Mytilus edulis: one gene and its partners. The protein of the gene in region 3 binds, or shares a complex with, the protein of the main gene of each other region. Links are inferred from orthologs where the notes say so. Each region holds a gene or a part of one and is shown on either strand. Other genes may lie near its edges.

Region 1 (11,340 bases), on a different chromosome or scaffold from region 3:
TTCTCAATTTAATCTGTCTAATTTTCTGATAAAATTATGTTTATTCTTTGTATTTACTTCAGACATGCTGTTATAGCCTGAGATGTGTATATAAAAGTTTTAATAACTTACTCTCTGCATTTTCTTCAAACATTCTGTTACATACAGTGTTATGTAAATAAGTGTTCTATCAGCCTCACTCTGAAAAGTATAAAATGAAGCCAAAATTTGTTAATTGTCAATGATTCAAGATTCAAAGTTTTATTTAGAGTCGATATTCACTAAACTACATAAACACAAGCTCTAGTGAGCTTTTCAAATCGACTTATAACAAAATACAATACACACACAATATAATACAATACACACATACAAAAGTCATGAAAACAACACACTTTTAAACATATAATGCATAGTAAGATACCATAAATGACATATATAAGTTAAAAGCATAGTACACTTAAAACATAGCACACTTAAAACATAGCACAAGTTAGTAATAAGATTGCACAAAGCATATAGTCACACAAAAAATATAATAAAATGAAACAGGCACTGGCATGAGCTGTTACTTGGATCCCATGTTTGTATCAATGTTAGAGCCTTCAATAATAGCAATTATTAGTTTCATCTGTTTTCTAATTATAAAACTTTGCTAAATGTTGATAAAAACTACTAAGATAAGTTTTTCATAAGATTTTTGCCTAATTCCATGACACAATTTTCTCAATTAAATTTTTTAAATATATCTATTCTTGTTTTTTTTCCCCATAATAACTACAGTGTATATCAATTCTTTGAATATCCTATACACTAAACATTTCATCTATAACTTTTAGTTCAATTTGCCAGAAATATTAATTTTTAATGCTTGGCTTGATATATAAATGTATAATGGCACTTTTCATAAAGTTTTTTTTTGAAAATTAGACATGAGCCACAGTTTTACTAAAAAGGGTATATCTAAATATTAATGTGAAAAAAATCCTAATGAAAATAAACATAAGTTTCAAAAAAATAAATACTGATGGGTAAGAAGCTAATTATATAATATCTTGTAAACATGTGGAGGATGTTACATGGCTGGTCTATGACACTTTTCTATTTCTGAATTTTATGAACTTAATAATAGGGTATTATCATGCATTAACACTTGAAATACCATGCTAATACAAAAATAATAATTTATTTGGTATTTTTTAAGGGCATACAATACAGTTACAGGGGAGGTAATGATGTTGCTAACATAAAATGTTACTTTCGCGACTGATTTTTATCCTTCAAACTGATTTCACTTTAAAACGAGTACATGGACCCCTCTTTTTCAAAGTGTAATTATCACTGATTATGTATGAAGATTGTTTGTACCAATTATAATAAAAAAGTCAATATTGAAAAAAAAATAAAATATACCGCAAAAAAAGACTTTTCATGCTTTTATTTCCTGAAACTTTGTAGAAATTTATAACTTCAGAAGAACTGTTGTACATATTAAGAACATATTAATGGAAAGAAGATTTTTATAACATTGCTACAATATCCCGCTTGTGTTTATCTGTTGAAATATAAAAGTGAGGTATGCCTATCAAAAGGATAGAAATGTCCAAAGAACTGAAATTTTAAGTAAATGTCTAAAAATGTTGACCCCTTTTATCTCTAAAAGTAGCACATGAAGGTATATTTTATATTACATATTTGAATTGCCTAGGTGAAAAATTCCTTGTATGCAAATTTTCTTAAAAAAAATCATTATGGGATCGAAACTGTATTGTATGCCCTTTATAAACACCTACATGTAAATTAATATCATTGCCTTAACACAAGTCCATCAACTTAAAATGACATTATCATGATTATCACAAACTTTAACATTATAACTATGCAAAAGTTTTAAATTTAATGAACCAACACTGAAAGTGAAGAGCTAAACATTATACATGGAAACAATTAGCCAAAAAGGTTATAAAAATAAAACTGAATAGCAAATATCATAATCTTACATTTGTACCATATGTGAACCATCTTCACTGACCTTATCAGAATCATTATTAAGCTAAAATAATCTACATGGAAATGAGATGAACCAGTACTTATACGATTGTACACCAAATATCTCAGAATTATATGACTGTACACCAAATATCTCAGAATTATCAATATACAATTGTACACCAAATATCTCAGAATTATCAATTGTAGTTCCCTCAAACCAACCTAATCACAAATTAATACATCATGCCTAAGTCTTTCCATCATGCTTTTTTGAGAATAGACAAAAAGTTGTCATTTCTAAAAATATGGCTGGTAATAAAATTTAGAATCTTAAAATTGGGGATAAGTTGAGTTTGAGATAAGATAAGTTGGCCAAATATTTTCTCCAGGTAATGATTTGTTAAATCAATGATTAAACGAAGGATGATAGACAAAGATAGTATCTCTTATTGTAAAAGGTAATCATTATTGGTGACGTCACATATAACGAAACACAACTTTCTGCAAATCTTTGAAAAGAAATGATAAGATTTATCAGAGAAAAAGGTTCTACCACTTGTTGTATTGGTGGAAATTATATTTCAACCCTCCATATCAACAAAATAAAATAATCCATAAAATCAATCACTGTGAACAAACTTTTACTGTTACTTTTGAAAAACAAAACAAAAACACTTATTTAGTTTTAAAAGAAAACAATCTTTTCTACATAGCAATTCTCACCTTGATTTCATAATTTCTAAAAAATATATTGGCCTTGAAATAATAAATAGCTTCATCTATAATGTCTGAGTCACTACCTGAAATAAACATACAGATTTTTATAGTTCATTCTTATGTTGTACTGTTATATCACTGTCCCAGGTTAGGGGGAGGTATGGGATCCCGCTTAACATGTTTAACCCTGCCACATTATTTAAGTATATGCCTGTCCCAAGTCAGGATCCTGTAATTCAGTGGTTGTCGTTTGTTTACGTGTTACATATATTTGTTTTTCGTTCTTTTTTTTATATAAATAAGGTCATTAGTTTTATCGATGAATTGTTTTACATTGTCTTATCAGGGCCTTTTATAGCTGACTATGCGGTATGGGCTTTGCTCATTGTTGAAGTCTGTATGGTGACCTATAGTTGTTTATGTCTGTGGCATTTTGGTCTTTTGTGGACAGTTGTCTCATTGGCAATCATACCACATCTTCTTTTTTATATACAGATGAAAACATCATTCAATTTGTTTATTTTGTAAATCTTCTTATGTCTGAATTCTATAGTGCATGTTAAATTACTAAATTTGCAAATCAATAGATTTTTTATCTGTATATAAATGATATATCAAGAATATATTGAAAAAACTTAATGTGGTGGCAATAGCATGAATACAAAGTATAAAAGTTTGTTTACATGTCTAAGTCTGATAAGTTACATGTAAATGACATAATTTGATAATATAAAAGCACTTTTAAATTGAGATTTGATTTGTTTACATGTATGTCATGTATGCGTAGAATTGCATTGATGAAACATGTGAAAAAGGTTCTGCCACTCAAGACTGACTTTTATATTAAATATAGAGTCTAATATTGACAGAAACTTAAAAGAAAAAATATAAAATTTATGAATTTTAGTACTTACTAATACAGTTGAATTCATATACATGATATATAAATAATAATTATAAAGTAAACTGAAGTAAGCCTAGAATTAAAGTTCTGATGAAATGATAACATTTTGTCAACCCCCGAATTCATATATCTAAGTAGTGAAACTAAATAAGATCATATTTGATAATGATGTCTTCTTAAAAATGTAAAATTGACATATTGTGTAAAATGACTACTTTGTAAATTTACATTCTTATGTTTTAATACATACTGTCTTTTGGTGCTGGTCCTTTGTAACTTGTTCTTAGTGGCACCAATGCTACATTTCCTATAAGTTTAGGAGGGTTTGTAAACTGTGAGTGATAAGCCTGTAAAATACAATAACACAGTGTTTTAATATACACTTTCACAAGGCAGGCACCCTATATCTAAATCTAATCTTCCTTGCTATCCCAACTAGAACTTGAACTGTAAGCTATTGCTCACGATTGGTACCCCTACTGTCAGTGAAGGCTATAACTATAGTGACAAAGTAACCAGATACTCCGCAGGGCACAGCTTTATACAATCACAGATCTCGATCTCAGATCAGTTGGGGCAAGTATTGACACAACATTCAAGCTGGATACAGCTCTGAATTTGGATTAAGATTAAATACATGTAGCTGACAGAGAATGAACGTGGTCTAATGAACTCAATTTTTTTTTTGCTTTTGAGCAATTCACTATGCTGTTGAATATTAATCCCCCCCCCCAAAAAAATGTTTAAAGAATTTTTTTTTTCACCTCCCCCTTTCCCATATGCCAAAAATAATCTCAATTCAAATTTCTAATGAAGTTTGCAACAATAACTACTCATTTACTCATTGCAGTTCTTTATTTCCTCACAAACAATCTGCTTGACTTTAGTTATCCTCGTCACATTTATTTTCAACTGTTTTTTCAAGTGATGTAATTCTTTTCTCATAACTCTCCATTATATGTTTGCACCTTTTTTCTATCTCAATATCGGTAACTGCATGTTGTTCCATGACTATCCTGCATTTTCCACAAAACCACATTGCATCTGTTTTACATAACATGCTGTATTCCGCTTTTGTTTTCTTAAGACAGGTTGTGCAAAAATGTTCCTTACACCTTTGGCATTCCATAAGTTGAGCCTCTGGCTCTTTGAAGATTTTGGTACATTTAGCGCATGTCCATGCCTCCTCCTCGTCTTGACTTATTTTTTGTGACGATTTGGGACCTGTTGTACTGCTTTTTCTAGTTGATGCCATACTTTTTAAATAATAAAAATAGGGCTTATCTATTTTTTTTTACCTGGCTGAGGAAATTGCATAAGGCTTCCTTACACCAATTTCATTTGAAGTACTTTATTTTGTTCTATTTTTAATTAAAGAACGAGGGGTTCCCTATCCTTGATTGTTGTATTTCAAACGAAGCCAGACTATCCTAATTGTATTTTGGTTTAAAGGACAAGGCTGCCCTATCCTTTACTAAATTCGATTGTCAAATGGAGCTAGACTATCCTATTGTTGACAGGGCTTCTCTATCACTTGTTTAATTTCTTTCGGGACAAGGCTTCCTCATCCGTTTGACATATTATGAAAATGTAGACTGCACTCTCAAATGATAGAAATATGGCATGCTATGTTATGATAAAAAGAATACATGCGAATAAATATAAACTTAATTCATTAAAAAGTATCCTATATGATATGAAGACAAATTATTTACTGGCATTTTCCTTTTTCAATGTTTCTGTTACACCCCAATCACTTCCTTGAGAGGCCGCTTCAAACAACTACAAAAATAACTTAAAAAATGTCAAGGAATACATCCAAATATATTTCCTTTACATGAAAAATAATCTATAAAGGTACCAAACTGCTTTTTTTATAATAATAAAATGTAAAAAATAGATACATTCCCACCTAAAAATTATATTATTTTGATGTGTCACAAGCGGCAACGGTTTGACAAATAACCGAAAAAAGATTAGTAGAAGCTCACACACTTGAATTGTATTTTGTATTGCACCATAAGGTCCGCAAAATAGTCAAAAAATAACATACGGTTCCGCAGCTAGTATTGCACTTGAATAAGAAATGCCACGATATGGACAATTAGTGATGGGTCCGGCTGGAAGTGGAAAGGTAGTGACGGGTTTTAATTTTGGTCAACTCAAGTGTACAAATATAATTTTTCTCATATAAACTGCTTGTGGTTTCTGTATAGGAGGGACGAAAAATACCCAAGGGACAGTCAAACTCATAAAACGGAAAATAAACTGACACACTAAATATACTGATAAGTGATGCAGTGCTACAGCCTACATAAGGGTAGTAATGGGGTACCCTCATGACATATATAGGTAAAAATTCTTGCCAAATGATGTTAACAGTAATTTTTAGTGCATATCAGCTGAATTTGATGAAACAAGTTTTTTTTCCCAAAAATAAGGGTAACGATTATTATTTGAGACATCTTACGAATCATGATAAGGAAATTTTGACAAATCACGCTAAAATTTTAACCAATTTGATGCTAACGTTAGTCGAAAATGACTGTTTGACGCCTCATGGTAAAGGGGTATTACTAACCTCATACATGTACATGTGTATGTAAGTTCTGTTAAATATACTGATTTATTTTGCTACTTTAAAACTGAACTCTGTGGAAAACTGCATGAAGAATCCTTTTTATTAAACATTCTGAGATCAGAACTATGTCTGAGGGTGGTAATGCACTTTACTGTCATGTGTCAAACGGTCATTTTCAGCTACTGTTAATGTCAAATTGGTTAAAATTTTACAGTGATTCCTCAAAATGTCCTTACAGTGATTCGTCCGATGTCTCAAATAATTATCGTTACCATTATTTTTGAAATAAATTAGTGAGATTCGTCAAATTCAGGTGATTTTTTATCATCTAAACATTCAGGGGACTAAATAATGAATAAGTGATTTAAAAATCACTTATATCATTAAGTCCCCTGAATGAGTAGCAAATTTGAAGCTTTGTCTCCAATTGTAATTTTGTAGTTTTACCAAAATTTCAAACACATAGGTTTAAATAATATCTTTTCATTAGTAAAATTGAAAAAAAATGTATTTTTTGCTTCTTTGAAGTGGAAAGGTTTATGCCTTTGATGCTATCATTTAGCTGCAAATTCTATTTTAGTTGAAAAAATGCTGTTATAATGGCTTTACATAATGAACTGATACTTTCTTGACAGATTTTTCCCAGCAGTGGGAGTATTTTTCCTTTAAAGTTCAAGGTTTCATCTTTCAGATTATGTAATAAAATTCTACTGTTCGGATAAAAATTTCACTGTTCGGGGATGTTGAAATTAGTGGGGGTTATTAAAATATTGATAGTTAAAGAAGTGATTTTTGGGAATGAAATTGAGGTATGATAAATTAAATCACTTGTTCTAGTGATTACTTTGTACTACTTAAATAGGTGATTATTAAAGAAAGACAACTCTTAATTCCAATCTTTATGGAAATAATGCTACTTGAATCAGTGATTTAGAAAATCACTCATTTAAGTAAGTCCCCTGACTGCTAAAAGAAAGTGTACATTTTATTGTCATGGACTAAAAATTACCATTAACTTCATTTGGCAAGAATTTTTACCATTATCTATCATGAAGGTACCCCCATTACTACTATTTGTATCATTATTTAATATCTCTGTGTCAATATATGTTTCTCACTTGTAACCTATAAAGTTTGCTGAGGCATGAGGTTGGTGCATCGATAACATTTCCAGGTAGAAAACTTCAGTGACTGAATTTTTGGCTCTCCCTTGACAGTCACATCATTAGTAAGTATGGTCTGACTACCCTCATGTCTGTGTGCATGGTTTGGGTCACCCAATTAGGCAGAAATTATCTGTGTCTGTTTACTCATTCAATATTATAGAATTTTATTTAACTTTTATACAAGTGAGAGGTTTAGCTAGCTATAAAACCATTTTCTACATTTTGAAGTTAGGAATATGTCAGTTGTTTCCATTCATTCAATGTTTAAAGTAAATAAGTAAGATGTGTTGGAGCTTTAAATTTTGCCATTTGATATTAAGGTTCTTTCTGAGTTGAATTTTCCTTGGAGATCAGTATTTTTTGTTATTTTACTTTTAAGTAGCTTACCAAAAGACATATATTCTTGACTATAACATAAATAACAATATAAGCTTTTTTCTTAAAACTTTTGTATCAAGGTCACGAGCTTCAGGTATGTATGTATGATCATTTAAAAACATTGTTAGGCAATGCTTTGTTTCTGAAAAAAATCAGTAGATTTTTAGCTCACCTGGCCCGAAGGGCCAAGTGAGCTTTTCTCATCACTTGGCGTCCGGCGTCCGTCGTCCGTCGTCCGTCGTCCGTCGTCGTCGTCGTCGTCGTCCGTCGTTAACTTTTACAAAAATCTTCTCCTCTGAAACTACTGGACAAAATTAAACCAAACTTGGCCACAATCATCATTGGAGTATCTAGTTTAAAAATTGTGTCCGGTGACCCGCCCAACCAACCAAGATGGCCGCCATGGCTAAAAATAGAACATAGGGGTAAAATGCAGTTTTTGGCTTATAACTCAAAAACCAAAGCATTAAGAGCAAATCTGACATGGGGTAAAATTGTTTATCAGGTCAAGATCTATCTGCCCTGAAATTTTCAGATGAATCGGACAACCCGTTGATAGGTTGCTGCCCCTGAATTGGTAATTTTGAGAAAATTTTGCTGTTTTTGGTTATTATCTTGAATATTATTATAGATAGAGATAAACTGTGAACAACAAAAATGTTCAACAAAGTAAGATCTACAAATAAGTCAACATGACCAAAATGGACTGTTGACCCCTTTAGAAGTTATTGCCCTTTATAGTCAATTTTTAACCATTTTTCGTAAATCTTAATTATCTTTTACAAAAATCTTCTCCTCTGAAACTACTGGACCAAATTAAACCAAACTTGGCCACAATCATCATTGGGGTATCTAGTTTAAAAATTGTGTCCGGTGATCCGGCCAACCAACCAAGATGGCCGCCATTGCTAAAAATAGAACATAGGGGTAAAATGCAGTTTTTGGCTTATCACTCAAAAACCGAAGCATTTAGAGCAAATCTGACGTGTAGTAAAATTGTTTATCAGGTCAAGATCTATCTGCCCTGAAATTTTGAGATGAATCGGACAACTCGTTGATAGGTTGCTGCCCCTGAATTGGTAATTTTAAGGAAAATTTGCTGTTTTTGATTATTATCTTGAATATTATTATAGATAGAGATAAACTGTAAACAGCAAAAATGTTCAGCTAAGTAAGATCTACAAATAAGTCAACATGACCAAAATGGTCTGTTGACCCCTTTAGGAGTTATTGCCCTTTATAGTCAATTTTTAACCATTTTTCGTAAATCTTAGTTATCTTTTACAAAAATCTTCTCCTCTGAAACTACTGGACCAAATTAAACCAAACTTGGCCACAATCATCATTGGGGTATCTAGTTTAAAAATTGTGTCCGGTGACCCGGCCAACCAATCAAGATGGCCGCCATGGCTAAAAATAGAACATAGGGGTAAAATGCAGTTTTTGGCTTATCACTCAAAAACCAAAGCATTTAGAGCAAATCTGACATGTGGTAAAATTGCTTATCAGGTCAAGATCTATCTGCAACAACAAAAGAAAGAGAGTTTTTAAAGACCTCAGCTGGCTATACAACCCTTGCACAATCAACTGAATTTTGCAGAAATCATTAATAGGATAGATTGCCCTTATATGATAATTTTTTATTACCTTTTTGTTTTTTTTTGGCAAAGTGGGGGGGGGTTGCGCAACAACAAAACTACTTCACAACTTTCTCATTACTTTGCATTTCTTGTTAGATAAATTTTACAAAAATTCTCCCCTGAAACAACTGTTGAATTTAAACAAACTTGGTTTAAATCACCACTAGGATATCCAGGGACCACTGTGTATGATGACCCTGCCTGCCCACATGGCTGAAATTAAACATAGGTTTCAAATGCACTTTTTAGTATTATATCTCTGAAACTAAACGACAGTACAACAGTTGCATTTATCATGCAACAATTGTAAATAAAAATATCAGGTGAGCGACACAGGGTCCTTGGACCCTCTAGTTCTAAGTTTTTTACCAAAACCTAGTTTTTAAATTTAACAGAAGTAAAACCATACTACGATACACATTTTTATTGATATTTACAGATCTTAATTATGTTTGTACCTTGTGAAGCAGTTGTTTCTTATATTGAAAAGTAATATAATTTAAACATGTTAAAAAGTTGGAACTAAAGTGTGAATCTTGATTGACAAATTTGCATAAAACTATGCAATGTATTATACAACATTATTATATTTCAGTCTACATACTGCAGCAATATGGTAAAACATGCAGAAGTCATCAAAAGAACAATACATGTTGTCAATCTAGATCCCGCTGCTGAACATTTTGATTACCCTGTGTTAGCAGGTACTTTATATATATTCTGTCATATTTTTGATTGCTGAACATTTTGATTGCCCTGTGTTAGCAGGTACTTGTATATATTCTGTCATATTTTTGATTGCTGAACATTTTGATTGCCCTGTGTTAGCAGGTACTTGTATATATTCTGTCATATTTTTAATTGCTGAACATTTTGATTGCCCTCTGTACAGTCGGCGTAACTGTTTGACATGAACTTGACTGATAGGTGAATTATCGGTGATGGATGTTTGACTGATTGATGAGTGATCGGTGACCCATAGAATTTGTCAGATAAAGTCAAACAAGCTATGTGAAAGTAACTGTGACAATGGTCAGCGATCGATCAGTACATTAATTTTATGCACCAATCGGACGGATACATATATATTTAAAATTCTTATGCAAACGGAACTCTACAGTGTTTACATTCGATGAACGCTGACCTCATGAAGACACATTTATGCGTTAATTTGTAATCTACTTAGTTGCAATAACAAATAAAAAAATAAAAATAACTTTTCACTTATCATATGTATTACTTCATATTCTTCTATTTAGATTTTAGCTAAATAAATAACATAACTGCATAATAACCATATCCTCAGAATATTATCGTACCAGGTAAAATGTTGTCGTTTAAAACATGGAAGTAATATTGAAATATAACTTCCATGTTTAAAATAAGTACTATATTTAGCAATGTTATGTCACTAGAAGATGAAAGTAAAAATATTATGATATTAAAGACGCATGCTTTATTTGTGATGATTAAAAATGATGTTTTAATTATGGTTTCTGATCAACTTAATTTCTTCTTTGGTAAAAATTAATTCAATTTTAATTGTAATTTTTTTTTAAAGTCCTCAAGATAAGTCTTAAGTCTTTTCTTGTAAACTTTTGCAATTTTTTTTTTTTTTGGAATAAGATTGCAGTTATTTCTTTAATTCAATGTAAAATTATAAACCGCTGTATGATTTTAGTACTTTTTGTACATCAGGATATTGTTTGCTTTTCCTCAAATATGATGACTTTCAGGGAAATGATAATAAATTATTTACGCGTTGCCTAAAATGCAAATATTTCTTCTCATATTTGAAATAATGCCACATTAATTGCAAACAGGCATTAAAAATGCCTATTTATAAGTTATTTTGTATCAAATGTGAATATTTGAATGATAATATATGCATAAACTTTTGTTTTTGTTGAACAAGATACAATTATTTGTTCATTTTTATGGAAATCTTTGACAGCCATTGGATTTTTCCACTTTTAAAAGTTC
Region 2 (11,188 bases), on a different chromosome or scaffold from region 3:
CAAGATATAAGCTGTACAACTAAAAGGTGATTTCAATTTTTCATTTTGTGACTTACAATTATATAGCGTCATTCCAGCAGCAGCTGTATTGGGGAGGTGTTTTTCACCCTATGCATATGATATTCAGGATCTTGCATTTCCCAATCTTATTTAAATTAAATCCTTGAATTGCTCCCATTCTGATGTGGTTGGTTTAAGGCCTTGATGTGCAACTAATCAAAACGAGAGCAATGCAAGGCCTTGATATGCGACATATCAGAAAAGAACAATTCAAGGCCTTGATGTGGGACATATCAGAATGGGAGCAGTTCATAGATTTAATTTTGTTTAGATTGGGTAATACTGGTATGATCTAATATCCTTAGAAATACATATAAAAACTGAATAAACTTTTTATAGCTTTTATTTATTGCTAGGCATATGATTTATAATATACCCTTTATAAGTATAAATATATGTACAAAATGATTACATGTTTATAGCTTTCTTTTATAAAATTAAACAGCTTTGATATTCATGATAGTATTTTATATTTGAAATTTCCCTAGAGCATGACTGATCTATAATTCATATAAAACGTGTCCTTCATTTACCAAAACTGAAACATATTGGTACATAAAGGAAACTTTAGTAGGTAGAAAGAAGCATTAATGAACATCATTATCAAATATGTCAATACTATTTTGAAGGGAAAACAACTGAAACAAGTTGGGAGTGTTAATCTGTAGCACCTGGTTTTGGCAAACACACTTCTTCCAAGTCACTTTCTTCTGACTGTCACACATTTTATCCATAGATATAAAAAGAAATATATACAAAATAATACTGAGACAGATTAAAGATGTTCCATAAAAAGTTATTAGTTGATTATTTTTTCGACTTATAAAGCCCCTTTCCCTCCAAAACTATAATTCTACCAGCTACTTTCCTCAAAACCTGCTGTAATATGCAATGACAGTAGCTTTTAAAATAAGCACAATCATCTATTAGAGTACACAATTTAGAAAGCCGTGAAAATGCATGTAAAATATTGAATTATTTTGTCAGACTCCTAATTACAGTTTAACTTATATTTTTATAAAAACTTTCACATATCAAGACCAAGGGTCTGAGGTTTGGGAGTCCCTGTTCCATATTTCCTTTTTTCAAATCATGCAAAAATGAAGGGAAAATAGGTTTGAAACCCCATCCCTTTTGATTTTTTCCCACACATGGAGTGCATAAAAATATTTCTTGAGCAAGTACCATAATATTTTCCACAATCTGAAGTCAAGTGCTTTTGTGTAGTCATGTGGTTGTGCTTAAGGCAGTGAAAAATAGTATCTTCATGTTTTACAATAACATTACAGTAATAATAAGTATCAAAATTAAGGTGCAATACTGAAAATTTGGTCAACAAATCTTGCAAAAATAGGTTTTACAACTATCATCCATAAAGTAAACATTAATGCTTAAAATTAGAATCCCTATGTTATTCTGTCCCTGAAGATATTTAGATATAGAATTGCAGCACATTATTCCTAGTAACAAAGATCTACCCAAAAATTATATATTGGTATTCCAAACTACTTACAATCTTTGATGTTTTACAGTTTAAATCATATACAACTGCAAAAATTTATTATTTGTAGTATATTGTACTACTTGAAATAAATCAATGTTTAATTCATAATAATGTACAAATTTTCTTTTTCTTTTATCAGAAATAGTAATTTTGCATTATAGTATAAATACATATGACTTTACAAATTAAATGACGATGCACACCAGAAATATACCAAATGATCATTTTATAAAAGTCTGATTGTATTCATGGACCTATGGAATTCATACTGAATCAAAATTTGTCTCTTCTAACATTTTAAAACCCAATTTACATGCTTAACAATGAAATTTCTGTGTTGTACAATTTCCTTATAAGCTATCACAGAATATACATCTAGGAGACATGCTTTAATCTTTCTTCTGAACAAGTATCCATAAAGGAATGGTTTAAAATGTATTTGCTGCACCATTTTCTATCTGAAAATAAAAAATAAAAAAAATTATACAATCAATATAAAGCTATGTCATGAGTGTAGTGTAAATTGGCTTCAGTATATTCAAAACAAACAATGAAAGTTGTATTTATTTAAAACAAGTTTTAGGAAAGACCAAGATTTAAGCTGATATTTGAAATACTGCATACTGTGTGCTTGTATACCTGGCATAAGAATATTTGTTGCACTTTCCAATAGTCAGCTATTTTTTGAATGGATTATTGTTCATTTGCATTCCACTCAATAAAAGCATTCTGCCAGTAGACTTCAGGTTATTATTTTGTTTAGCTCTTATAAAGTTTCATAACAAAGAAACACTGTTGCATAGATAAGGAGAAACATTTTATATCTTTTATGTATTTACTTCATGTACCTACCATTTATAAAATAAAGACTGCATCAGAATCGTTTAAGAAACTCCTCAGCACTTAATCTAGCTCTAGAATTAAGGGCTATCTTCATTTCACTAATTTCCTTGTCTATTTCTTCCATAAAATGAATTATAAAGTCTACAAGTTTATGTTTAAACATTTCTTCCGTATGTACATTCGTTACTAGAAAACTAATATCATAACCCTGAAACAAAATTAAAACATTCCAATGTTAAAAGTTAGAATTATAGAAACAAATAACTGAACTAAAAATAATAAAATTGTGTTATTAAATTTTCATTAAAATCCTCCACAATACACCTTTATGAATATACATGTACTGAGATTGGTCTTTTCTTTATGTTATTTTGATCTAATAATACAATTGTTTAAAACTAAAATGGCAATATTTAAACAATACAAAACATTAAACCTTATATATAATTAATGAACCATGAATGAAGTGCAGGGCTTAATAATATTATAAATGCAACTTGTATATGCCAAAGCTTATAAAACTTTATATATTATACTATTGACTTATTATAAATGGTTCCCTTTAAACTGACCTAATCACAATTTATCAAACTTATATATAGTTAATGCTCAGCAAAGAAAATGCACACCTTAGTCTAGCTTTTGCCAATAAAAGCTGGGCATCATTAACAAAGGTATACATGTATGTTTGTTGTGCATGTACAATATAAAAATAACAAAGAAAATTCTATTCAAGACTGTGAGGTTGTTTTTTTTAATATAGATTTTCCAAGTGAATTATGAATTTATTCCCATCTTTGTAGTTCGCTTCTAATGTTGCAACTCTAATTTTAAACACACTTTAATGCAGAGCCTAATCTTATTTTCAGAAAAAAATCCAGAACCATCTTAATTTTTCATTCTAATATAATCAGCTCTTACCTCTACAGGTTTTCTCCTAAGAATAACAAAATTTTCTGCTCTTTGCATCATAAATCTGGTGAATTTGTGACATAAGATTTTTTCTATATCATCAGCCTGTCAAAATATAAACTTCTATTTACATTTGTACATTGTTTAAAATAGTAACAGTCATCATTTCTTGAGATGTCATTTAACAAGTGTATTAGAATTTACTGTTTTGATTACTGCATCTTACCATTAGCAGTTAAATGTGTATAACCTGGGGGGAGGAGGGGGTAACCTTAAATTAGGTCGTACAGTTGTCTTCAATTGCTTACATCCACTTCATTTGAATTTTGGTCAATATTAGACTCATTGGCAATCATACCACATCTCCTTATTTCTATTTTATCTATTTAAGAAACTTTATTTGCAGACCCTATCAATAGCTTATTCCCATCCTTAATAAATATATTTGTTATTTGCTACTAAATGTTAAACAACAATCTTTCATACCATACTTTTTATTAAAATTATGATGTACATGAAGACAAGTAGCTATAATTACCTGTTTGATACCTATACTTATTCTTAGAGAATTTACTGAGCCCTCTATCAATACTTTTTCTTTTTCATTTCTACTAATCACAACTGGCGTAAGAAGAAGTTCTTTACTTGATCTGAAATTAAAATGATAGGTTCAATTAGTTTTGTTATTATCTGTCTATACATGTACACTGAATGTATAAGAATGAACAGTGTGTCAATATTACATAATTTATTTGAATGTTAATGTTTAATTTCATTCTTTGAGACTGGAAGACAGTGTGTCACTGACTGGAACTTAGAAGATACAATTTTTCTTGTCACTAAATTTTTTTGTTATCAAATCATACCATGTAAGAGGAATTCTGTTATTTACAAACTTGTAGACAAGTACAGGTTACTTTACTTACTTGACTTCTACTTCTGGTTTGTTGTGACGTTCAACAACTTGTGAGTTGAAATTCTGGACACATATGGCTGCTGTAAGAGTGTGCTTGATGGCATTCAAGTAAGGCTTCAAAGTAGCAGACTGAAAAATAATAACCATTTACTGATAAGTTTCAAAATATCAGCCAAGTAAGCAGTCATTCTTACATATTCCTATAAGAAAACAGCTTTATACTACACACCTTACCTAATATTATTTTACAAGTGTATCAGGGTTCTTAATAATGCAAGTCCAAGAGTCTAATCATTTTCAAAACTGGTCAGTTCAAAGATATATTAAAATTGTTAAATGTTGTATGAACTTAGTGCAAATATCTTAATTTTATGACTAAAGATTAAAAGTCCAAGTCTCATACACTCACTTACAAATGTAGTGAGAACACTGAACATGGTTTATAATGTATTATCTTACCTCCTATACATTCCTAGGAATGTGATTGGTTAAAAGGGTCCTCATGGAAACCGTGTATATTTGATATTAGGTTAGTAGGGAGGCGGGGCATATTTCATACATGGTTAGTAGTGGAGTTGCATCCCTTTATATTCCATATAAGGTAGTAGGGAAGCGGGGCTTATTTCATACACGGTTTGTAGTGGTGTTATGTCCCTTTGGATGGAGAGTTGTCTCATTGGCACTCACACCACATCTTATTTCTATTTCAATGTTACCAATTTGGATGTCAGAGCACTGTAGAGGGAAGTTAAACCTGCAGATAGATCTTCAGGTCAACATATGAGACCATAAAGACCAATCAAGGCCCTGAATCTGGTTAAAAGTCCAGTCTAGTTATCAGAATTTAGACAGAAATGTGTGAGGAAAGGCGAAAATCACATATTCAATGGTTATTGATTTACCATTGCAGGCATCTCCCCCTTTTCAACAGATTACGTAAGGAACAGAGAATTCCTTAGAAATGTAAAGAACATGATGAGAGGATACGAAAAATAGTTTAAGACAGACATAAATGTATCATAAAAATCGGCTTCTCTATGCTTCCGGTTAGAACATTTATCAGGAAATGAAATGATTTCCACTGTATGCCTTAGTTAACAGATTCCATTGGAAGTTGCAGACTAAATATGTGACTGTGCATTTCTTACGCGGGCATGTAATCATAAAACAGGTAACTACAAAAGGAACAGTAAGATAAAATTGCTTTAGAATCAACACCCACCATCTCGTACTGTACCAATAACAGGAAGTAATTGCAACACTTGCGCACTTCTCCGCTAAACTGGGTCACGGAGATACCAGTTATTAAATATCAAAGCACTAAAGAACTATAAGTATTGTTGACATTAAAAAAAGTGAAAAAGTACTCAGAAAATAATATTCCGATAATATAATCATGAAAAAGTGTAAATCACCCGTATACAAGCACAACTCCAATATATACTATCATGAGGTAGTGCAAGTAATAAAAGTCTCGCTAGCTCAAAATTACTAGTGAATCAAATAAAGTCTAAACCTTAAAATATTCACCATTTTATAATAATAATAATAATAATAAATTCTTTATTTAAAGAGGGTAACTCAATTAGAAATAGTCTAATTTTCATTGAGGCCCTCAAACAAAATACATGCATACAGTTAACATTCATACATTCATACATTAATTTACAATATATATTACTAGTATATACACAATTCAATCATTGAAATATACAAAGGGTAATAAATGACAATATTTGATATAGTTTTGTTAGAGGAAAACAAATTAGTTGACTTGCATATAATTTTCAAGAAAATGATTATAACTATGTTTCTTGAATAATTCCACATTAGGACATTTCTTTATTTCGAGTGGTAAATTATTCCATACTTTGGTTGCAGAATAATGAAAAGATTTTTTATAAAAATTTGTATTTGGTCTTGGAACAAAAAGATCATTATTAGAGACAGATCGTAAGTTGTGGCGTTGCACATCATCAATATTTAGTATTGCTAAGTAATCAGGTGTTAGCCCATTTACAATTTTATACATTAGAATTGATTGTTGGTATTTTATTCTTTTGGTAAAAGATAGCCATTTTAAAGAAGAAAACATGAAATTAGATGGAATAGAAATATCGCATTCCAGTATAATTCTTGCTACTCTTTTTTGAAGTTTTATGATTCTATCTGAATCTTTTTGTAATAAATTTCCCCAAACTGAACTACAATAGTCTATATATGGTAGAATATATGCATTATAAAATAGTTGCCTTGTGTGTATTGGCAAATATACTTTAATTTTATATAAAAGTGATACTTTAGATGAGATAATTTTACATATACGATCAACATGATCTTCCCAGCTTAAATTTTCATCAATGTCTATTCCAAGTAATTTGAAAGAATGGACATTCTCAATACATGTTTCGTTGACGGTAATACATAATTCTGATAGTTGTTTAAGTTTTTGTTTTGAACCCAATTTCATACACTTAGTTTTTTGTGCATTGATTTTCATACTGTTATTGTTACACCAAGATTGTATAGCATTTAAATCATTTTGCAATATGCTGTTTATTTTTTCAATGTTTTTATCATGAAAATGCAATGTTGAATCATCAGCATATAAATCCATATTGGATTGTTTAACATGAAGTGAAATTGGATTGTTTAAGATGATAGTAAATGATCTTAATTATTCTTTAAGTCGCTTTTTCAGTTTTTATCTTTTTATTATCTTATTTTCTGGTAAATTGGCTAGAATATCTTTATATTGTAATCCATTATATTTTAAAACAGGACAAATATCTTAAAATATGACACAAAATGATTTTTATATTCAATATATAATTTTAATATAATTTTTATCATACTGAGTAAAGTCATAGTTTTTTATAAATATGAAATGAAAGAGATAATTTAGATTTTAAGCATTGACTAAACTCCCTATGTAAATTACACCCATATTAGCATTTATTATCTTTATAATATTATTGTCATTGACATGCATAATAACACACATGTAAATCAAATAAGCTTATAATAATAACCAAATTAAAAGCCATATCTGTATATAATTTTAAAAGTCATAACATACTAAAAACCATCCACAAAGTGTGCTGTACATAGTTAAATATAAAGAAAAAAGAAGTTTCTATACCAAATTACCCTTATATATACTAATATTAGAGGTGTGTCTGTCTATAAAAAAGCTTATACGACGAAAAGCCGGTATTTACCTTTACTCATTCTTGGCGTGAGACATAAGCCAGTTAATTATTGATTATTTTATATTCTATCACCTGTGTATTGTAAAATAAATCAAACCATTATCACTTGTCAATTATCCGACAACTTGGTCAAATATCAACTTGTTCTCGCATACCGGACTCTTTCGATACACTCGGGCTTTTACTTATTCAATAATAAACAGTTGTAAATATCGTACAGAGTAAAACATAGTGCGGGAAAATGTTTATTAATAAAATATTCATGAATGAAACGGTCTCGCCTAGATATCTTTTGATTTTCTCTTCAAGCAATGGCTGATCCGCAAAGTAGTGTTTGTGATACTTATTTTTAAAATGAAGTTAAATTCACCTGAATTGTCGGTGAACATTCATTCCTTTTTTATTCAAGCTTTAATCTTTTCAAAAGATTTAGAGTAGCAACTCAAAATATCCAAGAATCAGATTTCGAACACTAGAACTACATTATCTTGGAGCAGAACATTGCGATAGTCTGTAGTTGAGGCCGAAGCCTATGGAAAGTTGCGATAGCAAGCTATAGCAAACTTTCCAAAAAATAAAAACTAAGCAAAATTTATCTAACTTAAAAAAAAATTAGTAATATTTATACGTTAAAATCTTATAAATTTCTCCCTTTAAATGAAAATTCATGGTTACTTATCTGCATTCCTAATCAAATTTTGCTAACTTAATTGAAAATCTGGACCTTAGTGCACTGTTATTTACAATCCAAAATGGTGAAAGACACCCATACTATAAACTTAAACTTGATTATATATTTCTGCATTTCAGGAGTAATTAAGTCATGACACCATTTAACTTAACCACCAAGATGACTTCTGAAGACTGTGGACGGTCATATAGCCCGATATAAACATGAATAGAAATTGAAGGTAGCATATGCAATTGGGTTTTTCAAGGTCTGTTTGATTCCATATTATAGATTTAAAATATGTTATTCTTCGTTTTTATCTGTGTATAAGAATGAATTTGTGTGGATAACATCAGTTTACCAAATGGCTAACCCTTGTCTAGCTGTTAATGTTGACATCATTTTCTTTTTAATAGCTGAACACGCCTAGTATATGTGGTACTCATATCTAGCTAAGGGTTAATTTCAAGATCACACTTTGTTTAAGAATCACACAAAAACCAATCTCAAATAAAATTTAACTGAATAAGTCAAAATGCTGGACTATTTTTTATCAAGAATATGTTAATTATGCCAGTCGACAGTATTCCAGTGGCATTCCATCGGCATTTAATTGAGGGACTGCAAATATAATCAAATCCTTGTCAAAGGCAAGAGGAAAAATTATCAAACAAAATCTTTAAATTTCCCTTTTAGATATCTTGATGAAGACCAATCACCTTTCAAAGTCTTGTTTTGGTGAATTATAACAGCATATATCTATTCTTATGAATTTACAATAAAGGACAATAGAGACTGTATTAAACCTACCAAGCTATGGGATGTGGATCCTCAAGTACTGAAAAACAACAAAAGCAAACTACCACTAGTGATCACCAAATCGCACTTGATAGAGTAAGTAAAATACTATCATGTAAAAATGAATTGAGATTTAAACTAACATGCAAAAGTATTCGTAAGTAACATTGCACATAATTTGTAAAAACAATGTCGTACTTAAATAGGTTAGAAAAAGAAAAAAAATATATTCTTGTTATATTAGGACCTAATGATTTGATTTGTTCTGTTTTGTCTATACTTTATTTTAATATTACCTCTTTGTTCTATATCTTTTTCTAAACTGACAATAAGCAGCTTAAAACTAAATTCAATTAATTTCTTTTTGTCAACAACCCATTTTCGAGCAGTAACATACCATCTACATGTTATCTGAATATTTGGTTTAAATTCATACTATGAATAAATTGCTTGAAGTGGGCATGGTTACAATCTTATAAATGTTACCTCTTTGTTAAATGTTGTGTGTACAACAAAGACAGGCAAAAAAAAAAGATGGTTGAAATATGGCTGACCAGCAGAGACTATGGACATTTGATGCACTTTGTGTGCAGTCTTTTACTCTAAAACTACTAATAAGTAAATTGTAATGAAGAAGGACTGAAATTCCTACTTTATAAATGCTTTATGCTTGACATCACAAATTGGTTTATCTGAACTCACTAATGGCATTTAACTCATTGATTTCTATTGTAAACTTATTTCAATATGATATTATTTTCTCATGTTCCTGTTTGTAAAACTTTAAGCCTGATGTGATTTTATTGTTATTGTGTGATAAGTGATGCATGTCTAGTAGGAGAGTATGTAAATTGTCAAAGCTCACACAGTTTTGAGTTCATGTGACTATTTTCATTTTCATATATATTTGTCTGTTTTATACAGGAATTTGTATACTATATTTTTGACCTGTTGAACAAACAACTGTATTTAATTTCAAGATCTTAATAGATTGCTTTCTACAGCTTTCCTCTTTTCTATTCCTTTGAGTATCCAACATGAACGCTTCTGTTAGAATTGGAAGAAATTCAAAAGCGAAAGTAGATAAAATATGAGCATTAAAGTAAAGATGGCTAACTTTCTGTAAAATAAAACCTTATCTTTTCACACTATTACATTTAGAAAGTAACTAATGAAATATCTAATTCAAGGAAAAACAATTTTTAAAGTACATGTATATATTTATTTTTGTAAAAAAAATAATATTTGTGATACTTGCTGTGTAAATAGACACATCAACATTTATAAAAAAAATGTGTTTTCTTTCCTATAGTTTATAGACATACTAGAATAAGATGGGTCTTTTGAAGGCAACACAGACCTCTCCTTTCAAAAATATAGTGGTAAATAAATAATAATGTAGCATGCATGGTAATCACCATTTTTTCATAAATATTTTTTAAGGATCACCAACTAAAAGGCATTCTTTCAATATTGTCAGAGTTTATAATTTGCATAGATTTTTTTATGAAATTTAAAATTTATTTTTTGTAGAAACATCTTGCTGATGGGATATAACAATTGCAATTTTAATGGTAGAAAATAGGAATTCATAATTCATCCTCCCACTGATATCCTAAATGGTGCTACATTTTTATTATAACTTCATTTCAACATTTATATTCATTTAATATAAATAAGTACAATTGTATACAGATAATTGGATTGGAATCATGTTTATACAAACTCAAAATATACTCTTTATAAAAGTATAAATGAGCTTTGATTTTCATCTCACAACAAAATTAGTGTTTCTGAGAAATAAAATACTAATAGCACATCTTATAATATTGTTATCAAACTCCTGTTGATAACTAGTACATCCTATAACAATATTATCATCAAACTCCAGGTTGCAACCAGTACAAGAACTTCATTGTCAACTCATATCCAAAGAAACAAGCCTGCAAAAGAAAAAAAAAACAAGTTATAAAATATGTAGCTTAATGTCCTAAGTTTTCAATGTGATACATGTACAATATTTGTAGATTAGAAATCTTACTAGATTATTGTGAATGGGTAAAGGGGTAACTTTTTGCATGAAAATCCTCAGTTCACTGGCAGTTCACTTAGGATTCTTCTTTCTCCAAATTATCTCGCTTTTATGCCACCTATTTTTTTAATTGTGATAATGGAAGCCATTTTAAGGATGACAGGCTGTCAATTTAGCTCTTTAAAACCGACAAGTTTATCTACATAGTATCATTACCAAAGTTACATGGCAGTTTACCTTA
Region 3 (11,291 bases):
ATAACCACCTATTGACATTATATTGCATATTATACTGCAATCAGCTATTTTGCTATACAGATAAAGCTATACGTATAAACGTTAGTTTTATACGCCAATGACCTCAACTAACCTATAAGCCCCGCCTACTTACCGGAACTATTGTATTTCATCAACAACGTCACGTCACAACCATGACAACGTGTAGTAACAATGGTCAAACCTTTATAAATCTTAACTTGTTATGTCTTCAAATTGGTAATTTGTATAGCATGTTTATTAAATATTATTAATTAAATTCATTTTCCCTTTCTAATTCCTTAAATTGTCAATGTTTTACCGCCTAGACTACGCTCATAGGGAAATACCCCAAAATGGTACCACAAGAGGAAAATTCCAAACACTTTTTGTAACAATATTTGTTACATATTTTTATTTTTTTTATCGATTTCAGTATAAAAACAATATGCATATAGTGTCTTGAAATATGCAATTTATTTGTATTCGGCACGAAACAAGGGAAATGCTCGGTATAACCTTGCATTTCCCCCGTTTCTAAGCCTCATACAAATAAATTTCATATTACAAGACACTATATGTATATTGTCTAACTATCATTTATTTCACCCAATATTTGAAAAGTGTAAAAGTTTTAATAAGAGAGCACACACTGAAATATCTAACTAGGCTACTTGTTATTGAATTCATGTTGAAAGTCTGTAACATGAATGTTTTACTACAACTACATGTATTAAGTAAACTTATCAATGTTCTGTGATAATGAGGTCAAGGTCAGATGCACCAGGCCAGACAGACATGTACACCTTACAATCCAAATATAGTTAACCTGTTGCTTGTAGTATCTGATAAACTGGAAAAAGTTGGGGAAACTGATCATAGACAAATAAACCCTGAAAATGAAGTCAATGTAAGATAAGAAAAAGCCTGTCTCTCAAGTAATTAAATGGTTTCTTGAGACACAAAAGGCTCAAAACCAATAAATAAGCCCACATATACTTACTATTATTTTGGTTTTGTCATTTTCTGGGTTTGATATATGGAATAAAACTCCATCGAAATCTGTAAAACATAATTGAAACAAAAAATTAACACAAAAAATGTTAAAAAAAACTATTTAAGTGATTACACTGTCATACAAATATTATCTTGCATCTGGAGTGATTTTCATGAAGTTTTAGGATGCATAAGTAAAAAAAACAAAGATAGCACATATGCAATAATAATTTATGAAAATAAAGTGATGCTGTGTTTATTTTATTTAACAGCCGAAATAAGTTGATGTCATGAGTAATTTTGTTAACATTAATGAATAAGCATGATAAGTGCAGAGAAATATTTTAGATATATTCTTTTTCTTTGCTATACATGATATACATCTACACCTTTAAACATATTTAAAAGTGTATTAAAACTATCTTATGATTTTACAGATTTCACAAGAGATCAAATTGAAATAAAAAAAACGTACCTGCAACAGTGACATCAATTGATTCTGGTTTGTTTCTAAAATAAAAAAATAAATAAAATAAAACTTCACTAAGACGATGCCCTAAAGGAGGCTTGAATTAAGTGCAGCAACATTAAAGTGTGATTTACAGTATATAGTTCATGTACCAATATACTATGCAAAAGAACAAAATTTACTTTTGGGTAGTTAGGCTACTGAAGGTTCTTTTACTGTAGTTTTAATCAGTTTTCCCAAGTACATTCATATTAGAAAACTGAAGTGATTCAAATATAAACATAAACATGATGAACATAGAGCTCAATCTCAACAGACTGAATAATATCTAAAGCAAATATGTAATGTTAAAAGGAAACTAAAATGGAATCAACACATCAGATGTATAAATTTTAGATGAAGTGTTAGTTTCCATACTTCTCATAAAAAAATTTTGTACTTAGGTTTGTAACAGACTAATTGTTTAAAGTCTATTCTGTGTTGTACGGGGTTTCCGCTGACGGTCGCCATTTTAGCAATTTGCGAAAAAATAATAATTGTGGCGATTAAAATTCGTCATTGGCGAAAGAATTTGGCGAAATTAATATATATAACTATTTATTTTCAACCATCTCGTTTATTTACTTTTTATTTCAGGTTTCTCGGAATTTACCTGATCAGACAATTCTCGGAATTCACCTTGAACTCGATAAGATTTTGACAGAAAATCAATAATCAGCTGATTGCATTTGATAGCAATCGACATCAAAGGACTAATTAATAAAGGTGTTGATTGACAAAATGATATGGTTAAATGGCGCCCGTCACATGTTTCATCAAGGATTATTAACCACTTTGCGACACACATGTTTGAAGCAAAATTTTGACGACTCTTCTCCTTCTTTTAATGATAGTCCAGAAAAGAAAACTGTTGTTATGACAAAAAATGTACAAAAGCCAGAAAGGTCTCTGATTTTAAAACTATCATTTAACTTCGATATCGATAATTGATTTGAGTGGGTACTTCAAAGTCGTTTCAGTGACACACGTGCGAAAAAAAAAAGGAAAATTTTAAAAGAAAAATATATTTGTGTTACTTGGCCAAAAAAAAAATAATGTGGCGAAAAAAAATATTGTTTTGGCCAAAGAGGTGGCGAAAAAAATAATTGACCCAGGGGAAATCCTGGTGTTGTAAACCTTTATATTAATGAAGCACTAAAATCAACACAAAAACTTGTTAAAGTCTTAATCATACTTGCAGAAAATTCTATCTCAAAGTCCAATTGGAAAAATGGTTTCAGCATTGTAATAGGAAGGGGTCACAGATTTTTTTTTTAAATAACCTTTCAAGACGTCAAAACTATTTGGACTAATGAGTAATGAAAGGGGAAATCATCATAAATTTTTCCTAGGCCTTATCAAAACAAACTTTTGTCTAAACAGTTAATGTTAAGAATAATAGAAAATAGTGTGGGCAAAACAACCTGCGGTCAAACTGCCCAGGTTGTGAAGTGGAAACTTCTTAGAAGCCATTATTTGGTCAGATCATGTTTTTTCGTATATCATATGAATTCATATAAATTTTAATGCATTCTTTTTTAATGGAAATTGTGATGTCACAATGCATTCTCAATAAACGTATTTACACTTTAGGTATTTAGCTGAATTTTGTCTCCAAATGACCGTAGATCGCCTCCGAATAACCTTTTGATGTCAAGCAACAATCACTTTTTTATTGTGACGTCAATTTTTTTGAATTGTTATGTCAAAGTTTACGGGAACCTGTGTGATTCTACGTAATGGCGGACAAATTTCCATACAAGTGTAAATACGTCTATAGTGCAATAACCAATGAGACGAAGATACTATTTTAATTTTTTTTTAATTTATAGATATAGGAAGATTTGGTGTGAGTGCCAATGAGACAACTCTCCATCCAAATAACAATTTATTAAAAGTAAACCATTATAGGTCAATGTACGGCCTTCAACACGGAGCCCTGGCTTACACCGAACAACAATCTATAAAGGGCCCCAAAATTACTACTGTAAAACAATTCAAACAGGAAAACCAATGGTTTTATCTATATAAAAATCGAGAAACGAGAAACACATATGAATTACATAAACAAATGACAACTACTGTACTGTGTACTGTGTACATGTACATCAAATTCTTTATTTAAAGTCGAGTTGCATTCCAGACTTACATTGTAGGACTACAAGTCATCCTACGATTTTGTTAATACATATTTTCGAACATCCTGGCACTTTAAATTTCTAGGAGGTGAAATTCTCGGGATTTTACCTCAAACTCTATGGGAAAATACAATTTTTAATTCCAATTTAAAACCAAACGGTAAAATTTATCACACAGATTTTTAAAACACATGTCTATTATGATAAGGAGATTTGAAAACACGATCTCAAATTTAATTTTAATGATTCAACAAAAAATTAATTGAGTTTTAAGTTTGTGTACCTATATATGGTAAAACCCGAAGATTTGTCACCGCTTCAACTCCAATATTCAAATAGATAAACACAATGTAATTATCTGATTGGTCAATCTTCAGCTGTGATGCAAACATGAAATTATGTATATTGTCAATTTTATAGATCTTGCATTGTTTATATTTTTTGCTGTAAGTGTAATGCCAATTTATTGCATTATACGGGTAGTACTGATACTGTGATACATCGAAAGAACACGGAAGCATGTACTATACCGGGTTTATTTGTAACGCCCTAAAACTATATCCCTATACAAATCTAATGAATCTATTACCCTTCTTTTGCATTTTTGAATCTTAAATTCAGTGTTTCTTCAACAATTCGGTTATGAAATTCAAGCAAAATCATTTTAGCAGTGACTTATTCCTCTGAAAGAAGGGTGGGTTATTCCTTATTCCGGAACTGTTGTTGATTTCCAACCTTGCCTTTGTAACACTTCTTTTCATTGGCCAATTTTTGTACTGGTTACCGGAGACTTGTAAAATTATTGCGTTTGCTCTAAGTGTGAATCAAATAATTGCCTTACCAGATGGCAGTTTTGATAAAGGTAATTTTATTGGATAATCTAATTCTGATTTGAAAACAGCCGGGAAGACGGAAGTTGCCTTTAAGGCTTTATCAAGAACTTTTGAATGACAATAGTTATAAGTAACAGTTAGGTATACTAAAAACATAGGTATTTAAAAGTAGAAGAATATTATTGAAAAATTTCATGGGTCATTCAAAGAAATCCATGGTAAAAAAACGCCCACATCGGTCACAGAGACTCGGTGAGACAAATGGAGAGACAGGCCATAACACAAATCATTGTGTACTGACTCATTCTTGGATGAAAAATAAAATTTTAACACTTAAACAGAATTACATGTCACAGGGTAATATGGCCACTTAATCTTTGTAAATTAAAATAGGGCGTTGAATATGTGACGAAATATAATGTTGCAAACCATTTATTTCACACTGAAAGTACATAAAATATTAATTATAATAAACATTTATTTCAAATGTTAACTTGAAGTTTCCTTCTAAATTGAACTATGAATTGGATAGAAGTACATGCATGTTAAGGCCTAAAAAAAATGTGATTACCTGAAAGTAGGGAAAAAGTTAGGGTGTCCCTTATGTAGCGTGCATGCTTAAGTGTGTGAAACTCGCATTAGTACGAGTTCACCGTATATATAGTGCTAGAAAAAGTGGCGGGTTGCATGCATAATAACTTCGTGCAGAGTAGTATATAGAGTAAAGTCTTTTTCTAACTGTCCGTCAATGAATGAACGTAGTAAATATATAGTACACACAACATATAGTGTAGTACTAGTATATAATTGTACTCTAATAAATAGCTACGGTGACATACAAATGTACATATATCCTTATCTATCTCCATTTCCGTATTTACCTTTGCACATGAACGAGGTAAACAACTGTAATGGTGGTCACTTTGTTTACTTGTCTATATTCTATTTATTTGGGGATATTGGTTAACTTTAGAATTACTTATAGTTCCGTAACTCTTTCTTCCGAGACCGGCCATGAAATTATCCTTGTCGGGACTTCCTGTTCTGGCACGTGCCCGGCCGGGCTCGTTGTCCATAGGAACTATAAGTATGACGTCACTCACCGGGTTCTGGGCAGTCTACATTAAGGATTTAAAATGAGCAGACGCTCATATCGTTTGGCTTTCAAATATGGAACGTTATAAGGACAAGTAGACTAGCCACCACCGTATTTTAGTATATTTATTCATGTAATCGTATGTTCAACCATAATGTATGTCTTCAAATAAACATCTTGTTTATATTTACGTAGTTTTACGTACTTTGTCCAATATCCCAGAACTTGGGTAGACAACGGGAAAACGAAGCCAGTGGAAACTTCCACTCCCGTTACATTGGGGGCTCGTCCGAGGGATATTTGAGGACAATAACTTAAACAAACATTGTGTTTGTACATTATTTCGGCGATATGGTCGGAATAAAAGGTATTTTTGTATCCCTAGGAGTCAAAATCGAACAGTTTATTGTTCGTCTGCTTGTCATTTCCGCTGTTTGTGCCGGTCCGACAATGACCAGTACTGCATGTAATATCGTTTTTTTACAACAATACAATTAAAGGTGACTTACCTTCAGAAAATGAAATTAGAAATCCAGATTTTAAATTCCAAATTGGAGCACAAGGTGAACATTTTGTTCACGTTCCAGAGGAAATATGCTGGTCTTGCATAAGAGGAAAACAAACACAACATTTTTGTGTACACCACATCAAAATAAAATATTTAGCTGCATTTTATCGTGGTAGAAAGCTTATTATGGCTTTTCAATTTCCAGGAAGTCGGCGATTGTTTACGCCATGTTTACAATATGACGTCATATTTTCGACGTCAAAGCACCTGCCATCTAAGGAATGTTTGTATGGAGGTACCAATGGGGAATACTCATTGTCGTTCTAACCATGAAAAAGTTGTTTAATTTGTTAGTTTTGTTTATTGGTTCGTATTCATATTTATTGTCATAAATGGATTTGGAAAATCAAATAATTTGTTTTGATTATACTTCAAATTGTTTTGGATTAAAAAGTACATTTTGTACTTTGTACTTGCATTTCTGTCATGCAGTATTGTCTGCATATCTATGTCTTGTCAGTGTGGATGTAATAACAATTATTTACCTTTCTTGCATGGAAAGGAGGGAATTAACAATACTCAAACTTAAAAGTGGTACCGTAAGTCATAGGCTATATTGTGCCATCATGGATATTATACTGGAAATTTGTCCGGTTTATTTTGATATTGTAAAAAGGACTAAAAGTACAGTTTTTGTACTCGGTTATATTTATAATATAATATCTTGATATTTATTTTAACGTTGATCTTTGGAAATAAACTGAATTATCTCAGTTTGGTGGGATTGTTACGTCAGTTGAGGAAAATAATACTGAATCTTTTCAGTTGCTAAGCAATGTGGCTTAGGTAAATGTAGAAATTGTGGATATAGCGAGGATTTGGATTAAAATGACATTTTTGTCATACAGCTGGAATAGGGTTGTCTGGTACGAGTTGTGACTAGAATAAAGATAATAGAAGAACGTACACTCATTATCTTAGCTGTTGTTGGAAGCTGCTTTCGGTGGTGTATACATATAGAGGCAATTTTGGAAATACCTTAGGTGCTAGAATGGCGCGAGAATAGGTGTATATTTTGCGTATACATTTTTATTGTAAACCTTAATTGGTTCACCATGGGTATGTTGTCCACATGACTAAGAATATTGTTTGGGGATTGCTGGAATACAAGGAATGATTTATTATTACAGTTCAATTGTTTTATATGACTTTCTAATTTTTGAATATATTTAATAAACAAACAATCAGTTTGTATGGATTTCAGTATAGAAATGTGTGTTTTATATGGTTAAAGTAATACCATGGGCTATATGCTTTCGGTGACCAATAAAATTACATATTGGGGCACCCGATCAAGTGGTGCAGTACTCGTGTATGATAGACTTTTAAAGACTCTTGGTGAGTCAGGATTTTATAAGAAGAATGTGCTTCTTAATTTATTCCAGTGTCTGACAGAATATAGGTGGTAAAACTGAAACTGTTTCAGTGCGTGGATAGCTGGCCACAATGAGGGAACATATTGGATTTTATATTGGCCTTTTTGCCGATAAGTTTAACGTAACTAAACCACATGGAATTATAAATGTTGGGGAACACTTACTTGGACTACTTTACAGATTTGGAACCTCTACTAGACGAATTTTACCTTATTTACCTACCTGGAACCTTGGACAAGATGTGTGCCTGGATGCTCCGCTCGAACTTTATAATTGGATTCCTTACTCCGTGATGATGTCTCGTGATGTATTTGTGACTTTTGAACATTTAGTGAATGACAATTGAATACTTTGAACTATTTATCAAATTATTTATTGACATTAACAGTAAATTAATTGTTGTTGATAATTATATGTGTCTGTATTCTAAATTTTGGTAAGTATACCTCACCGATCTTTGGACTAATGTGTGGGCACATTATGTCTTAAGAGAGGGGGAGTGTAATGGTGGTCACTTTGTTTACTTGTCTATATTCTATTTATTTGGGGATATTGGTTAACTTTAGAATTACTTATAGTTCCGTAACTCTTTCTTCCGAGACCGGCCATGAAATTATCCTTGTCGGGACTTCCTGTTCTGGCACGTGCCCGGCCGGGCTCGTTGTCCATAGGAACTATAAGTATGACGTCACTCACCGGGTTCTGGGCAGTCTACACTAAGGATTTAAAATGAGCAGACGCTCATATCATTTGGCTTTCAAATATGGAACGTTATAAGGACAAGTAGACTAGCCACCACCGTATTTTAGTATATTTATTCATGTAATCGTATGTTCAACCATAATGTATGTCTTCAAATAAACATCTTGTTTATATTTACGTAGTTTTACGTACTTTGTCCAATATCCCAGAACTTGGGTAGACAACGGGAAAACGAAGCCAGTGGAAACTTCCACTCCCGTTACACAACCAAAACATTTTAAATGTAAATAGCCAAGAGTCTGAAGAGAGAACTTTTTGTGTTGCCAGACACAGCAACACTGCAAAGTCTTCGAAGTATTGATTTTGGTTCTTTACAAATGGACCCCTTCATTGTTAGTTCAGCCATATTGAATAGAAGCAGTTTTTCACAATAGAGGTATAAATGTACTGAATACTATGTAGTCCAAATAAATACCACGTCTGGCCAGGCTATTTTGTTTTTTTTTCTTTGACGCCTTCCTTCGATGTCATAACGCTGAAGCCATTTATTATGTCGGGACATTGAGAGCAAATTTTGGGGGAACTTTGAGACCTAATTTTGACCTGAAATTTGCTTTGCCGGTTAGGAATTTTTGCGTAGTTACAAATTCCTACCCTTTTTGAGCTTATTTTTGCACGATATTTCCAGAAATATCCAACAGAAATGATAAAATAAGTTATGATTCCATTTGAGGTGGACAAATATTTATGTTTCCAAAAAATTTCACAGAACTACCAAAATTCGTCACTTCCGAAGAGTATTAAACTTGGTAAAATTTTATGGACCAGAATTTCTAGATAATGTAAATCGACTGATTCAGGATTTCAGGTCCATCAAATTTTAAAAATTACTCATACACTTGTCTATAAAAAAGTACATAATTTGAAATCAGAATGACCTATTCACCATTTCTGAATCTAATACTTGCTGGGTAATATTTTCAAAAGCATTCATCAAGATCAGGGCTTACGTTACCAGGCGACTTGGGCGAAGAAGTCGCTTTCCCGACGGTCACTTCGCTTTCCCTGACCCCCAAAAGCGAAAACAAGTCGCCCTGTTCTTGACGATACTCGCTTTCAGTCCCTTCCGTCATTGGACATTTTCAAATTTTACAAAGTTGATGAAACATCAATTTTTTATTGATAATTAAAGAAATTTAGACATAATACTATTCATTATCTTTAGAAAAGAAGTTGAAGCATTGTCTTTGCAGTGTGTAGCGGGTTATTTGATAAAAATACAACATTTTAACACTTCGTGCATTTCTGCAAGTTCCGGTGCTTGTTACTTGAAAACGTGCATCAACCTAAATTTCGGCGGCAAAATAAGTTTGTTGCTTTATCTAAACGGGATAAAAGTTGCCTCCAGTAAATGTTTAATCCATTTATTGCTTTAAAAACGTCATGTTCCTTTCCAAATAACTTGTCAAACATCGTTTATTTTTGTAAATTTTCTTGCATTCGTCCGCCATTGACCGATATCTAAACTACGAATCTGAACCGGACAAGCTATGACCTAAATCTGTACTTTTACAATAATTACTACGGACACACGGATGGAAGGAACAGCTGACAGAAGAATTTGATCCCAAAGGGAAAAATTACGTATTCCACTAGCATTAAGAGACTTTTGGTTACATCTAATTGATTGGTGTATATAATTCCCTATATTTTTTATGGATTGTTTCAAAGTTGCTTACATTTTGTAACTCTGAGACTATTAATTATATTATGGCCCAGCTTAATAACTTTTATATTTTTTGATGAGAAACACTGAATTTCATATACAAGATAGATTTGAATTAAATTTTAATTGATATATTATTATATAATTTCTTTACATTTTTTAAAATATTTTTTTTTTTTTTTTAGTGCTAGATATTGAATATTTAGTTGGTAGTTTCTCACAAGAACCTTAGTAAAACTTAAACAACTTTTAATTTGAAATGTTACTTTAATTGTATACTCAGATATGAATTGAATAATATAAAAAGAACATTATTTACATATGACCCTTTATACTATAGTAAAATCCAAACATTGTAGTGCACCGTGCGAATGAGCACTTCTCTTTCAAATCTCACCACTTCTCCCTATCAGTTTCAAAAAGAGAAGTCACTTCTCCCTTTAATTCTGAAGTAGTGTGAGCCCTGAAGATGTTGTGATTGGTTTAAAATTCTAAACAATGGTACATGTAATTGAACCACTGACGTAATATTTCATTTAGATGAGATTACCCATAGTCTGTTAAATTATAAAAAGTTGAATGTGTAGCTGATTTTTCCTTAGATAATTGGATTAAGAATACTGTGGCAGATATTTTAAATGGTACAAATTAGCAATGGTACCAGTTAGTGGTAGTGCAAGTTAACATTATTATGAGTTGACTTTTAGGGGAATGAGTTTATGTGGTATCAGTTTACTTAACTAAAGTGTCCAAACTAAATAGAGCTACATGTATACCAAACTATCATTTGCCCTTACCCTAACACTAGCCCTGTGTTGAAGAATCTTAATAAATCATGCGTTGTGTTTTTCTATACGTTTAATCGTCGTGATAGCTAATGCATATAATATAACGTCACAGAGTAAAGCGGTATGGTAACAACGTTACCATAACGTAATGTTTGTACTTCGTGTATTTTCCGACACCCTGAACTTAAAACCTGTTCTAGAAGACTTAAACATACCCATACCATATTATTATGCCCCACCTACGATAGTAGAGGGGCATTATGTTATCTGGTCTGTGCGTCCGTACGTCTGTCTGTCTGTTCGTTCGTCCGTCTGTCCCGCTTCAGGTTTAAGTTTTTGGTCAAGGTAGTTTTTGATGAAGTTGATGTCCAATCAACTTGAAACTTAGTATACATGTGCTCTATGATATGATCTTTCTAATTTAAATGCCAAATTATAGTTTTGACCCCAATTTTACGGTTCACTGAACATAGAAAATGATAGTGCAAATTTCAGGTTAAAGTTTTTGGTCAAGGTAGTTTTTGATGAAGTTGAAGTCCAATCAACTTGAAACTTAGTATACA

The links.
Region 1: actin-related protein 2/3 complex subunit 2-like (region 3) and actin-related protein 2/3 complex subunit 3-like share a complex: the UniProt entries of both Caenorhabditis elegans proteins name them as parts of the arp2/3 complex. The link is inferred for Mytilus edulis from reciprocal best matches to the Caenorhabditis elegans genes arx-4 and arx-5.
Region 2: actin-related protein 2/3 complex subunit 2-like (region 3) and actin-related protein 2/3 complex subunit 4 share a complex: the UniProt entries of both Caenorhabditis elegans proteins name them as parts of the arp2/3 complex. The link is inferred for Mytilus edulis from reciprocal best matches to the Caenorhabditis elegans genes arx-4 and arx-6.

Annotation. Positions count from the first base shown.
Region 1 is NC_092349.1:81,608,060-81,619,399, reverse strand, and holds the start of actin-related protein 2/3 complex subunit 3-like, read right to left. Parts: upstream 5,549-11,340; 5' UTR 5,314-5,548; coding exon 5,308-5,313; intron 3,940-5,307; coding exon 3,843-3,939; intron 2,772-3,842; coding exon 2,695-2,771; intron 181-2,694; coding exon 112-180; intron 1-111. Other genes in the region: GPN-loop GTPase 3-like, read left to right, coding at 5,679-5,726, 9,953-10,061. UniProt on the Caenorhabditis elegans protein: Functions as a component of the Arp2/3 complex which is involved in regulation of actin polymerization and together with an activating nucleation-promoting factor (NPF) mediates the formation of branched actin networks.
Region 2 is NC_092344.1:98,209,404-98,220,591, reverse strand, and holds actin-related protein 2/3 complex subunit 4, read right to left. Parts: upstream 5,532-11,188; 5' UTR 5,461-5,531; coding exon 5,458-5,460; intron 4,365-5,457; coding exon 4,246-4,364; intron 3,970-4,245; coding exon 3,858-3,969; intron 3,425-3,857; coding exon 3,329-3,424; intron 2,616-3,328; coding exon 2,439-2,615; 3' UTR 2,417-2,438; intron 2,023-2,416; 3' UTR 386-2,022; downstream 1-385. Other genes in the region: mitochondrial carnitine/acylcarnitine carrier protein-like, read right to left, coding at 10,796-10,858. UniProt on the Caenorhabditis elegans protein: Functions as actin-binding component of the Arp2/3 complex which is involved in regulation of actin polymerization and together with an activating nucleation-promoting factor (NPF) mediates the formation of branched actin networks.
Region 3 is NC_092345.1:92,660,083-92,671,373, forward strand, and holds the start of actin-related protein 2/3 complex subunit 2-like, read right to left. Parts: upstream 4,397-11,291; 5' UTR 4,303-4,396; coding exon 4,229-4,302; intron 1,504-4,228; coding exon 1,469-1,503; intron 1,060-1,468; coding exon 1,001-1,059; intron 1-1,000. UniProt on the Caenorhabditis elegans protein: Functions as actin-binding component of the Arp2/3 complex which is involved in regulation of actin polymerization and together with an activating nucleation-promoting factor (NPF) mediates the formation of branched actin networks.